Rattus norvegicus: one gene and its partners. The protein of the gene in region 2 interacts with the protein of the main gene of each other region in a pairwise test. Links are inferred from orthologs where the notes say so. Each region holds a gene or a part of one and is shown on either strand. Other genes may lie near its edges.

What was found.
Region 1: the proteins of Klhl2 (region 2) and Bcam interact in binary tests that used the Homo sapiens proteins (3 or more experiments, as listed by UniProt). The two-hybrid records come from large-scale screens. The link is inferred for Rattus norvegicus from reciprocal best matches to the Homo sapiens genes KLHL2 and BCAM.
Region 3: the proteins of Klhl2 (region 2) and Txndc12 interact in binary tests that used the Homo sapiens proteins (3 or more experiments, as listed by UniProt). The two-hybrid records come from large-scale screens. The link is inferred for Rattus norvegicus from reciprocal best matches to the Homo sapiens genes KLHL2 and TXNDC12.

What each region holds. Positions count from the first base shown.
Region 1 is NC_086019.1:88,554,461-88,558,719, reverse strand, and holds the start of Bcam (basal cell adhesion molecule precursor), read left to right. Parts: upstream 1-1,361; 5' UTR 1,362-1,370; coding exon 1,371-1,434; intron 1,435-3,315; coding exon 3,316-3,437; intron 3,438-4,259. UniProt on the Homo sapiens protein: Transmembrane glycoprotein that functions as both a receptor and an adhesion molecule playing a crucial role in cell adhesion, motility, migration and invasion.
Region 2 is NC_086034.1:29,625,664-29,630,058, forward strand, and holds the start of Klhl2 (kelch-like protein 2), read left to right. Parts: upstream 1-1,573; 5' UTR 1,574-1,868; coding exon 1,869-1,894; intron 1,895-4,395. UniProt on the Homo sapiens protein: Substrate-specific adapter of a BCR (BTB-CUL3-RBX1) E3 ubiquitin ligase complex that mediates the ubiquitination of target proteins, such as NPTXR, WNK1, WNK3 and WNK4, leading most often to their proteasomal degradation.
Region 3 is NC_086023.1:128,815,223-128,819,443, reverse strand, and holds the start of Txndc12 (thioredoxin domain-containing protein 12 precursor), read right to left. Parts: upstream 2,899-4,221; 5' UTR 2,752-2,898; coding exon 2,661-2,751; intron 1-2,660. UniProt on the Homo sapiens protein: Protein-disulfide reductase of the endoplasmic reticulum that promotes disulfide bond formation in client proteins through its thiol-disulfide oxidase activity.

The DNA.
Region 1 (4,259 bases), on a different chromosome or scaffold from region 2:
GTTTCCTGGTTTCACAATTACTTCCTGTGTCAGGGAATGCTAAAGCAGCTTTGAGAGCCCAGTCAATACCTACAACACAAGCCTTTCCTCAGAGGCTGATGGGTAAAACCTTGGCTCCCGGGGAGGGGAAGCTCACCGCTGGTCACCCTCAGACTGGTCAGAAACGGGAGGGAGACCTCTCTCAGCCTGACCCACAGTGATACCACCCCCTCATCCATACCCGTATCCCAGGCTAGTTTCTACCCGCTGAACAGAGGCAGAACCGTCCTTCTCCAGCCCCCATCCAACATTCTTGGGATTTCGTTCCACACTGCCTCGGCTGTGTGAGGATCCTGGAGTAGACTGATCTGTGACCCTTTACTTTGACCTGTGACCCTCTCTTCCATCCAGCGGCCCCAGTGGCCGGCTCTTCTCTTTCCTTCCACCACTCACCTGCCACCACACCAGCCCACTTCTCCTCCCCTCCCCCCAAGGTGGGGAAGGAATGGCGGGGAGGGAAGGAAGGCGGAAGGGGGGTGACATTCCTTGGATTCCCTGGATGGGGGGAAGTGAGGGAGTCAAGGAGAGCAGAGCAGAGGGAGGGGCACCCCATCCCCACCTCATCACCAAAGAGCTTTACCAGGACTGGGAGTTGAAAACTCATTAGAGAAAAGAATGACCTGACCAGTTCCAAGCCACTGCTCCGTCAGAGGAGGGGCACTTCCCAGCAAGGTGGCTGGCTCCAAGGGGAGGGCATCCTAGGGCACTCAGAGAAGAGCCGGTCATGCAGGAGAAACTACAAAGAGAGGCTAGCACAGGCAACTAATCATATCAGGGACTGTTGATCAAAGCCGACAGTTCACAAACCAGGGTGATGGTTCACCCTTGTAATCCCAGTCCTTGGGAAACTGAGACCCGACGGAGGCTTGCGGTGAGCTCCAGGCCAGCCTGTGCTACAGTGTGACACCCGTCTCCAAAAAGAAAACAAACTAGGGAAAAGATCCACCTGCAGCCGAGGGCCGCAAGCCACCTTGGGAATGCGTGTCAAAGTCCCGCAGGTGGCCAGGAAGGAAGGGACCGAGGGTCTCCGCGCGGTGTCTTTTAGATCCCAGCTCGGGGCACTAACTAGACTGATCGGGCGGTCCCCATGGCTGCGGAGGACAGCCGCGGGCATGGGTTGGATGGAGCAGAGCGCGCGCCGCTGCTGGCGGGTCCCCGCGCGCGAGGGTGGGAGGTCCTCTCAGGGCAGTGGGAGGTCTTGGCCCTGCGCCCAGCTTGGAGATGGGGGTGGGCGTGGTCAGGGGCGTGGTCAGGGGCCTGGCCTCCGCTGCCAGCTTCAGGGCGGCGGAGAGCCTCGCCCGGGCTCAGTCACTGCCGCCACTGCAGGGAATATGGAACCCCCTGACGCCCGCGCAGGGCTACTGTGGCTCACCCTCCTGCTGTCGGGCTACTCAGGTATGACTTGCGGCTGAGGGCAGAGCTGGAACTTGAGGTTGGGGCTTGTGGGGCAGGCCCCTGGAGTCCCGGAGAAGACAAGGGGAACAAGCTTCCATTTCCCCAGGGAGCACAATCTAGGGATTCCCCAGTAGGGAGGAAGGCGGGGAGGCCTTGGGGTGTATCGGATCTGAATGCTAAGGATAACCCAGCTCTGGAGCAAACACAACCTGAGATAGCGCTCCCTTCCCAGCCCTTCGGGAATCCTGGAATCTAAGCCCTACGACCCCTAATAACCTTGGGTACCTGGAATCTGGGATCTGTGTCCCTAGTCCTTTAGACTAGAGTCCAGCCCCTGCCCTCCCCCATAATCAAAGTAGGTTCTGCTAAGATACCGAAGATTAACATCCCAGAGCTGTCTCTAAATGATTAAGCTCAGAGTTTCCTCGGAGAAACTGGGGACCCTGTGGCTAGAGCACTTTCTAGAATATTGGGGTTTCCCCAAAATTCAGAGTTTAGGCTGTCTCTAAAGGACCCGCCTCTCTCTGAAAGGGCCGGGAGAAGAGAGCCTGGCAGAGAACGTGGAAAAGTGTTTCCGACTGACAGGGCCCCTTTCCTTGGGCCCCTGATAAATCCACACACCTGCATGTGGTGAAAGGAGAGGAGAAACGGGGACTGAGGGACACTGTGGACAAGGCGAAGAGAGATCAAGGAAGACAGGATCTCTGTCTGCCTTGCTGCTTGCTGCTCACATCCAGTCCGGGGCACCAGCCTGGCCCCACATCAGCTCCCCAGGGACAGGCTGGGGCCAGAGGTGGGTGCCTGAGAAACCAGGCTCCTGGCACAAACGTGGTATATAGTGGAAACCTACGAGTAGCCTGTGCCAGGCTGAGCAGAAAAAGAATGGTGTCAGCCCAGAGGGTAGATTCTCAGCAAGAACCATGCTACTCGCCAGACCCTGACAGGAAACCCAGACCCAAGTTCCCAGGTCCCTAGGACTCAGAGGTCCTTGTTTCCCACATCCAGCCTGCTCTGCTGCAGGCATCTAGGAGTCTAAGCTTCCGGCCCTTTCTCCCTCAGGACCCAGCCTCGCCCCTCTGCCCAGGTGACTCACCTCACCCTTTTCAAGCTTCTCTGGTATAGAGATGGGGGGGGGGGGGTTGTCAAGGGGCGGGTAGGGGGCTCTGGCGCCAAGCCGGGCAGGTCTCAGCCAGCCTGGCCCTCCCACATTCCTGAAACCTGCCCAGCCCTGTCCCCCCTTGCCACTCCCACACACCCATCCAGCTTCTGGCCCAGCTGCAGCCCACACCCCAGCCCCCCACACAGGAGAGAGCAGAGGGCCCCTAGGAGCTACCGGAGAAGATAGGATGGGATCAAGAGATAGGATGGGACTGAGATGGAGAAAGACCTGTTTGTTATTTAGCCCCAGGCCAAGTCTTGCTCTGTGCGCTGGAGGCCAAGGGGAGAGCCAGGCCTGGCCCTTCCTTGAGGGGACATTTGCTAGAAAAGAAGCCAGATTTTAGTTTGGAATGCTGGAGAAAGCTTTACTTTAAGCCTTACAAGTCAGAGAGACTGGGCCAATGGCACAGGACTTTAATCCCAGCACTCAGGAGGGAGGCTGAGGCAGCTGTAGATCTCTGTGAGTTCGAGGCCAGCCTGGTTCACATAGCCCGAAGGATTCCAGGCAGCCAAGGCTATGGGGTAAGACCCTGTTTCTAAAAAGAAGAGTTGGAAAGACACTGACAGGACTCAGGCTCAGAGGGGACCAAGGACGGAGAGAGGATCTGTGTCTGAGGGAGGAGGCTAGAGCCTAGACTCCTATCTGATGGAGGAGGCTGGGGCCTGGAGGGCCATCCCTTTTGATGGCAGTGGGTGGACATTCGATGCTGCACCCATCTGCAGGTGCCCAGGCTGAGCTGCACGTGTCCGTTCCCCCACGGGTGGAGGTGATGCGAGGGGAGCAAATTGCCCTGGACTGCACACCACGGGAGCATCCTGAGAATTACGTGCTGGAGTGGTTGCTTGTGAGTGCTCTATGCTGGAGGCCAGGGCTGGGAGGGTGTGAGGAGGGGAGGAGAGGAGGGGAGGAGTGGGGAAGGAGGGTCCAGTAGCCTGGTCACCTTAGCAGCCATTAGCTCTGCCTACACTGATTGCTCAGAAGACCTTGCACGGAGCCATCGGAAGGTGCCTTTTTACTTCACCAATGAGGAGGCTGAGACCTAGGAAGGCTTTGGCCTCTGCAAGGTGCCAGGTGTCTGAGCAGGGCAGATGGGAGCAGTGGTTTCCCCTTAGGACACAGTGCTGGAGTGAGGGCCACCAGAGACAACGGGGAAGGAGAGGAAATGAGAGAGACAGGGCAAGGAGAGAGAGAGAGAGAGACAGAGGAGACACGGGAACAGAAGGTGAACGCTGGACTCAGGAGAGAGGACATGGATGGGCCCAGAGGGTTGAGAGAAACGACAGCCTCTCAGGCCTGGAATCCCAGACAACCATGAGGGTAGTTCAGGGTCTATGAAGTCAAACCCCACTGAGGTATAAAATGCAATATAAAAATCAAGGAGAAGGCCAAGGGATTGGAAAGATGGGCCACACTTAATAACCCTTGGTTCTTTTCCTGAGGACCTGAGCTCAACACTCCTATGTTCACGGTTGCCTGTGGCCCTACCTCTGAGGGATTTGATGCCCTTTTCTGGACTCCACGGGTATCCGAATTCATGGACACACACACACACACACACACACACACACACACACACATATAACAAAAATTAATATAAAAAAAAGGTTTTAAGAAAGGATGACCATTGAGGGCTGAATAGATGTCTCAGAGGTTAAGAGCGCTGACT
Region 2 (4,395 bases):
ATCATGCGGGCCCTCCGCATGGTAAATCAGTAATGCTCTCCGGATGCAGACATTAGCTCACGGCAAAGGCATTATTTTCTTTTATTAAAACAGGCCACCAGTGAGTATCCTTTCTTGGCTTCCAGAGTGCTGGGATTATGGGCACACTCCACCCCTCTTGGTACTATTTTATTTTTGTACTTATTGGCAGTGCGAGGAATGGGACCTTGCACTCCCCCAGGCAAGCGCTCTATCCCTAAGATGCATCTCACCCTCCTTTTAGTTTTAGTTTCTTCATGTTGGAGTGCCCCGGGATCATGTCTTGGTCTTCCTCTCCGTAACTACATTGCAGAGCTTATGTCAACTAGTCTCATGACTGTACATGCATACCATCTACGTGGGTCAACCTCCAAATTGAAGTTCATTCCGGACGCTACTTTTTCTGAAGCCTAATCCATCAGGAATTCTTACTGGGCATTTTATCATCTAGAATCTGACCACTTCCTTCAACGCCCCTGACTCCAGTGCAGCCATCTTTCTTTTTCGTTCTGGCTAGGCTAATCTTGACTGCTCCCTTCCCTCCCCAGTGTATCACTTATACAGCTCACAGGATCCATTTGGCCAGTAATGGTCTCACACTGCCTCAGCTACACAGGGAGTCTCAGGCCTCAGTGGGCACCAGCACCAGCTGGAGGACTCCTTAAGCCAGGAATCCCGGCTCTATCCCCAGCCTGCTCCCCAGACAGTAAGTTTGGGATGGAACTGGAGAATTCCCATCTCTATAAATTCCCAGGTGTTCCTTCCTCTAACAGGCATTGGTCCAGAATTCGGAACCCTCCTGCCTAGTCTCAAACATGACAAGGCGTCTTGCTGACAGGAATCTTCACCGATTTTTGCCTTAGCCCTGGGCATTCACCCATCTTGAGTTAGTGAAGGTTCATGTTAATTCATCTTCGTTTAACTGATACCCAAGAGGCCTTCCTGACCATTCCTCATCATATAGCACACCCCATCTCACTGAAATTTATTCATCTTCCCAGTGGGCATCCTGGGCTCATTGTCTCTCTTATCACGTTCAGAAGGGCAGCTTGCTAGGCTCAGCGACCCACGTCTGCTCAGTCACGTCCCCAAGCTCAGTCTAGCAGATGCTCATCTCAGTTGTCCACAGACCAGATTAGGACCCAGAAAAGACGCCCGCTAGCTTCGGGCTTGGGACCTTGGTCAGGCCGATCTATCTCTTCTTGCCTCGGTTTCCTCCTTTGGAAGGGCAACACTTGGTCTGCCCTCCCTTTCCCCCAATCCCCACTCCCCCGGGGGTGGTGAAGGCACTCCGACGCCAAGAGAAGGATGTGAATACACCGGTGAATCAGAGCAAGCCGCGCATAGGCGAGCACCCCTTCCGCGCGAGCCCTCCCCGCCTCCTATCTCCGAGCCTCGGTCCCGGGTCCCCCCCGCCCGCGCGCTCGCTCGCCCGCCCGCCGGCCGCCTCCTCCAGACGCCGCGGAGGAAGGGGCGGCGCCGAGGGAGGGGTCCCTCCGCCGCGGGAGGCCGCAGCGCCCGCCCGTCACGGCGCCGGCGCTGGCCGGGAGAACCCGGAAGTGGCCGAGCTGCGCGCTCGACCGCTCGCTCGCCCGCCCGTCCCGCCGCCGCCGCCGTCGCCCTGCACTCGGGGGAGCGCGGGAGCCGCGCCAGGCACACGAGCGCGCGGGGCCGACGGGCCATGGCCGCGGGGGCCGCCGCCGCAGGTGGTGGCGCGCGGTGAGGAGCGCTGCGCCCCCTCGGGGCGGATGGAACACGGCTGGGCGGGCGGACAGTGCCGGCGTCCGCGGCTGGTATGGTGCTGGCGGCGGCGGTCGGTGCCTGCGTTCTGAAGCCCGCGAGGAGCCACAATGGAGTCGCCGCCGCTGCCTCCCGCGTGAGTGAGCGGGCGCCCGGGCGCGCGGCGGAGGGCTGTACGGCTGCGGAGGGCGCGCGGCGCTGCGGAGGACACGCTGCGATCGCGGGGGGCGGCGGGCGAGGGGAGGCGCGGGGCGTGACGGGGCGCGGCGCCCGCAGTCCGGAGGGCGACCGCGGGACCGGACTCTGCCTAGCCGGCCAGGCGTGGGTAGGGGCTTCTCAGTCCCGGGGCGAATTGAACGTTCGGGATGGAGCTGTGCGTGGGGCATGGCGGGTGTGTGTGCGGGGAGGGGGTGGGTGGGCTACGATCGCCCTGTCGGTATCCCCCCGACCCCCCTAATGCACGGGCTGCTGCTGCCCATCTCGCCTACCCCTTTCTAGTGGGGGAGCGAGAGGATGCACAGGAAACTGGAAAGTACCAGACGCCTGGAGTCTAAAATGAATGCAATCTGAGGTTGCTTGCTTCTTGGAATTTCTAATAAAATTAATATCCAAGGAGCTTTTACATCACTCCAAATGAGCTGCGGCCGTTTTAGGGCATGTGATCGCCTACCTGGCACTGCAGAAAATCTTTTATCCAGAAATCAGAGCATCTCTCGTTCCCTTGGTACCCGGGGCACGTTGGTAGTGTTACCGACCTGTTAGGCACAGGTGTCTTTTTTCCTTGGTGCCCAAGTGCATTCAAGATCACCTGCAACAAAATTACTTTCTAGAAACAAGAGCTTAAGAAATCATGTGGAAGATGTTATTCGGTACAAGGTTTGAATTTTTTTTTTTAAGTGGCCTGTAAATCTTCAGGAGTTTGAACGTTTGGTGCTTCCCCTTCCCCCCACGCCACCTTCACGAGTTTAACCTCTATGAAGGAGTAAAGAGCCCTTTGGATCTGACTTTTTAAACCGCAGACAAACCTCTCCCCCCAAAAGGGTGAACCTTTTCATCCGATCTGATTCATAGAACCTTATCGGTTTTCAATGAGATTTGGCTAGCTAGGTTCACTCTATCACCGTTGCTCCTCACCCAGCCTCTTGTGGCTTCTTTGGCAGGATTACAGCTAAAATAAGGATATTTGGTTTGGACTGAACATTTCTTTTCTCTGTATTTTGTATTTTGAGTCCTCTTATGAGATCGAATGGAATGATAGAACCACAGTTTCTGTATGTGCATGACAGGATTTTGAGCTTGAGTGGAACAGGTCGTGGGGACCTGAAGAGTGGGTGAGTCTTGGCTTGCCCCTTCTGGGCAGATAGAAACGATAGAAAAAGCTTGCAGATGGTGGCAGCTTTGAGGCTGCGTGGTCTGCTCACACTCCCCAGAAGGTTGGGAAAGCCTTCTGAGCCCCCTGGGAAACATGTTGGTAGAGGGCTTCAGCAGCTTGAGTCTAGTGCCAACACAGGAGGTTTCTGACCAGCCTCAGGAACACTGATGGCAGAAGATACTCTGCATATAGATGACATGCTGTGTGTGATATAGGCTGGGTAAGTAAGTTACTTATGGTGAGCTTGCCCTCCCCACTTTTCTGTCGATTAAATGCAGTCTTTTTTCCCCCTCTGGGAGCAGACTGAACTGGAGAGAACAAGAGGACCTTACGATGAAGGTTTAAAAAAAAAATGGGTGTGGGAAAACAGGCCCTAGAGCAAGGAGGCATAGAAAATGGTTTAAATGGAAAAACTGAGTAGATGACCAGCTCTGTTCTCTGAGGCCGATACGTCACACGTATGATTCTGGAACTAGATGGAGGCTTGAGGTAGTGGAGGAAACCTGGAGTGCTGAGGTGGAGAATTGTGGAACGTCTTGTAGTCAAGTCGCTGGAGAGCTGCTAAGACCTCTTCGCTGTTTGCATGCATTTAATTAAAAACACAGACATTTAATTTGCATTAGGTAGATCCAAGACTCAAGCTCTCTTCTAGAGCTTGTTACCTTGCCGCTTAGGTTTCTGTAGAATAGACACGGATCTTGACTTCCTACCTTCTGGTTTCTTTGCCTCTGTTCCCTTTAACTCCCTTTTACCTTGGGTCATGCTGTCTGCTGTAAGAAATTGTAGGTGAGGTCTTTGGGAGGGGCTGTGCTAGGCTTCCTGGCCAGAGCTAGTCTAGGAGCACTCACTGGGAGCACTCAGCTCTTTATAAGCACTGAGTGTTAGCCTGAGCTTCAGCACAAAGAAAGATGTTTGACCTGGACTTAAAGGGCCTTAGATAATATGATTGGAAGCAGACTCAGAATTCTTTGTGTGTCTGTGGAGTAATTCATTCAGTGTGCAAATTCTTGGATGCCTGTCTCTGCCTGGCACTTTTCACAATGCTTGTCTGGGCTTCTGTTTTAAGAGTCAAGGCTACATTGTTCTCTGGTCCCACCCTTCTCCCCTTAGGCTGTCTTGGAGGGGTGTTAGGCATCTCTGCCTAGACTAGTAGTTCCTCATTTAGATTTCTTTTCTGCTCTGCCTCCAACTTTTTCTTGTCCTCTGAGAGGTCTCGTTGGTCGCTCACTGGACGGCACATTTCCAGGTGTCTTTTTGCATACCTG
Region 3 (4,221 bases), on a different chromosome or scaffold from region 2:
ACATGTTTTTGGACACTGGAATGTTAGAGATGCAGGGCCCTTAGGACACATTTCTAGTTCAACTCTCACTTAATAAATGGTCACCGGGGAAGACCAGAGCTGACTAAATGGCCTGACCAAGATTAAAATCTAGGCCTAGTAATTCCAGTCTAGTGCACACCATTCCACACCAACATGCTTCCTCTTCATAATGAGAACTGTTGGGAGAGGGTAGGAAGGGGGTTATTCCTTGTCTCCTCTCTGCAAACACCCAAGGTGTCTTCTGGAAAGAGCTGGAGCTATTTAGACATCTTGGAAGAAACGACACTCATCAAAAATTTCAGGAATTCCTGCCTCAGGTAGCACTTTTTACTTTTTTTTAGGCAGGGTTAGTATATTTCTTATGTCCAAAGAATCTATACATAAGCAATACATAAAACAAACACTTTAAATGGCATTAATTCCTTTAGTTTTCAAGTGTGTGGCATGGTATTCTGTCTTTTGCTTTTTCTTTCAATTATCACAAACTAGCTCTCCCACTTGAGTTCCCTGGAACTCACCAAGATCCACTCACCTGCTTCTACCTCAAGTCCTGGGATTGAAGGCTTCGATATATTTGGGAGTTGTTTATTAGGCAATGATGCTAACTGAACAACACAGAACTTACTGTCTGACAAAGAACGGATACTCAAAAAACATTTCATAATGTTATATACACTCAACACAGTCAATTGAGCAGGGCACGCTACATGTCGAGTGTCTGAGGTAACAATCACACCCATTTTGCAGCTGAGGAACTGAGGCTGTGAGAGATTAAGCTGCTTGTCACAGGCATCTCATTTGGACATTGGCAGAAAACATTGAAACTCAGCTCCGCATACATCCTAGCACTCCAGTCTCCCTCTGTGCTCACAATTTTATTCCAAGTACAGAGCAGCCTGTTTTACAAAAGAATCACCAGTATTTGAAACATTTGACCCACTGTGCAGTTTTTAGCACTTCCTTCATAGGTAAAAACCCACAGATCATCTTAGAAAAACTTTTCCTCAAAAAAGAGAAAGAAAGATAAGCTTTTTTCACCTTCCTAATTCAGGTAAATGCCAGCTCCCTTACCCTCTTCAGCCTTTTTACTTCCCAGTCTTTTAATCTGTCATGAACCTGGGTGTAAATATACACCCAATGAAAGCAAGAACCTTGTCTGTTCTCTTCACTGCCATTTCTCTAGTACTCGAGCCAGTGATCAAACCATGGTTGATGATCAGAAATCAATCCTGAACAGAGGTGACTCCATTTAGGTCCACTGACTTTCCACTCAGTCTCATTGGCCACCAATGAATATAAAATTAAAGAGCATTAAAAACAAACAAACAAACAAACAAACAAACAAACAAACAGGGGCTGGAGAGATGGATCAGAGGTTAAGGGGACCTGTTGCTCTTCAGGGGATTCAAGTTCAGTTGCCATGTTAGGCAGCCCACAACTGCCTGTAACTCCAGCTCCAAGGGGACTGACACCCTCCTTCTGACCTACTCGGGCCACACATTTACTTACACACACACACACACACACACACACACACACACACACGCACACACACACAAAATAAACCTTTAAAAAATCATGATTGGGCCTAGAGATGTTTCAGAAGATAAGAATAGTTGTGAAAACAACTTTAGTAACCATATAAACGCCTGGCACGACAGCTCATGCATGTAACCCCTAACATTAGGGATAGGATCCCATGAGTTCACCGGCCAGCTCCTCTAGCCTAAACGGTGAACTCAAATTGAATGGACTGTTTCATAAGGTGGAGAACAAGCAGAAGAGGAAAACACCCAACATCCTCTTCTGGCCTAGTCATGTGTGTCGTGCACCACAAAACGCATCGGCAGATACCACCACCAACAGCAGAATCCCACACAGTAAGGTCAGAACACAAAATAATCAAAGCAGGCTTGGAATCCATTTACAACTCACCCAGTTAGTCAATTCAGCTGCCTCCCCCGCCCAAAAAAGGACTGATGATGAGAAGGGGTTCAAGTAGGCAATACACGGATTTGGGGGTTCATACTTGCTAACCTTCATTCATAACCACTGATCCATCGCTCTAAAGAAATCAGTTTCTTCCAACACACTAGCTGAGCCACACAGAGAACAACTGTTGGTAACCTAGCAAAAGATCTACCCTTCATTTGGCTCTTTCTTTTGCATCTCTTAGAGAATCGGGAACCGGGTCTTGTGGGGTAGGGAGAATGTGGTGAGGAATCTTCAGACTCCAGCGACTATGTGATACACAGGTCACCAGAGACCCTTTTTCTTCTAGCGGAAAGGTGACGGTTCCTGAGGGCTTCCCAAGCGACCTTACTTCTGGCGGGAAGGTGACGGTTCTTGTAGGCGTCCCAAGCGCCTAACATGACACATGAATGGACTCCTAAACAGCCTAGTTCTAATTTAAGGGCCATATCTTCCCAAACCCAAGAATTAAGAGCGCCCTCAAGTTCAACTTCCTTCTCTTAAACCCTCTCCGGGACCTGGTACTCCCGACCCCAAGAAATCTCCCAAAAGCAGTTGGGGAAGATAAAAAGGAATCTGAAGTGGCCTAAGATACAGCGAGAGCAAAAAGTGTTAGGACAAGAGGAGGCCCGGGGTCCGTAAAGATTACAATAAGAACGAGGTCTGACCCTTTCCAAGCCCAGTGCGTCCGTCTGAAGAAGTGATGAGGAGCAGGAAACTGAAGCTCAGCAAACAGGTGGCCCCGAAACGAAGCGACATCTCCACTGGGGTAGTTGCACAGAGCCACCGGATTGCGGGAACACAGGATTTCCAGGAGAAGCTCCCCTGTGCCCTCTTATCGCCGCTCAGCCCAACCCCTCGGATTCCCAGATTTTTTTCCTCTCCAAACACCGAAGGAAGTGATGTTAGACGGATGTGGGCGGTGCCTCGAGGGTCCGCTTTGGAATGGAGTAAGTTTAAAGGTGCAGATCACGTAGAAGGATGGAGGAGTACATCTCGAGTTTGCTTTCCCTAAATCCTGGATATCCAGGCCTAGGGACACAGCCGGATGAGGTGGGCCGAAGTGGTGGGGGCTGGGGAAAGGTTCGGGAAAACCGTTGTTAATTACGTCTGACCTCCACCCTAGCCCCTCCCTCCAGTGGACCACTACACTAAATATTCAAAATGCAAATTATTTATCTGTGATATTAGCCTATCACAACAAAGGACTTGGAACTTCCCGCCCCCTTGCATAAAGTAAAAATACTGGACAACAGCACTTCATTGTTAGATTTCTTCTGTTTGGGATTCCGAAGAGACCCGGTAAGCCCGTTTTGCTGTGCACGCGTCTGTCCATGTCTTGCAGGCGTGCACTTTGGAGGAGCGCTGGACCCTTTACTATCCCTCGCATCCGCACGACTTCCACTCAGGCATGATGCAACCAACTGACATAAGCTCCAAAGAAACCATGTTTGGGGCCTCTTACTGCACAACTGACGAGGAAGTCCGAGGGAACTGGGACATAAGTCACTGCAAGCACGTAAAGGGCAAAGCTTCTTTCCGTTAAATCTGTTGCTTTTGGTCTTGGGTCGAGTTACTCCCTAACAAGTCAACATTCCCGACTTTAACCTTCTGATACTAGTGGAGTCCATTAGTGAAGGACATCCAAAGTAGACACCCAAACTACATCCCACCCGGCCCTTCGGTTGAGTACGAGACAAAAGGTATCACAGACACAATGGGACGCTGAGGTGTCCGCCACCTCCTCCAGGAAGCAGCGCGGCCCCCTCACCGGCCGCCAATCAGAATATTGGGGTGCGCGAGGCAGTCTGGGCTTTGTAGTTGGGAGGCGCGCGGTTACGGTACCCACCCTCTCCCCTCCTCCCGCGGTCGAGGCGGGGCCGTGCGTCACGTGGGCCTCTCCCGCCGCCGCCGCCGCTGCCGCCGCGGTCTTTCTCTGTCTCAGCTGAGGCAGCCATCTTGCTCTTGCCGCGTGCTGGTGTTAGAGGACCCTCCCCGCTGCAGGTGAGACCCCCGGCGGGCCCGCCACCCCACGGCCTCCGGCCGCTGCGCACGGTCTCCCCCCGCCCTCCCCTCTCGACACCCGCCGTCCGCTCCGGCTGCCACTTCCGCCGTGGCGCGGCGAGTGGGGGCGGAGGCGGCCGGCCGGGCCTGTCGGTTACGGGCGGCGCAGCTGGGGGTCGGCACCTGAGGGATGGTCCCCAGCACCACCGCCCGCTGTGGAGGAAC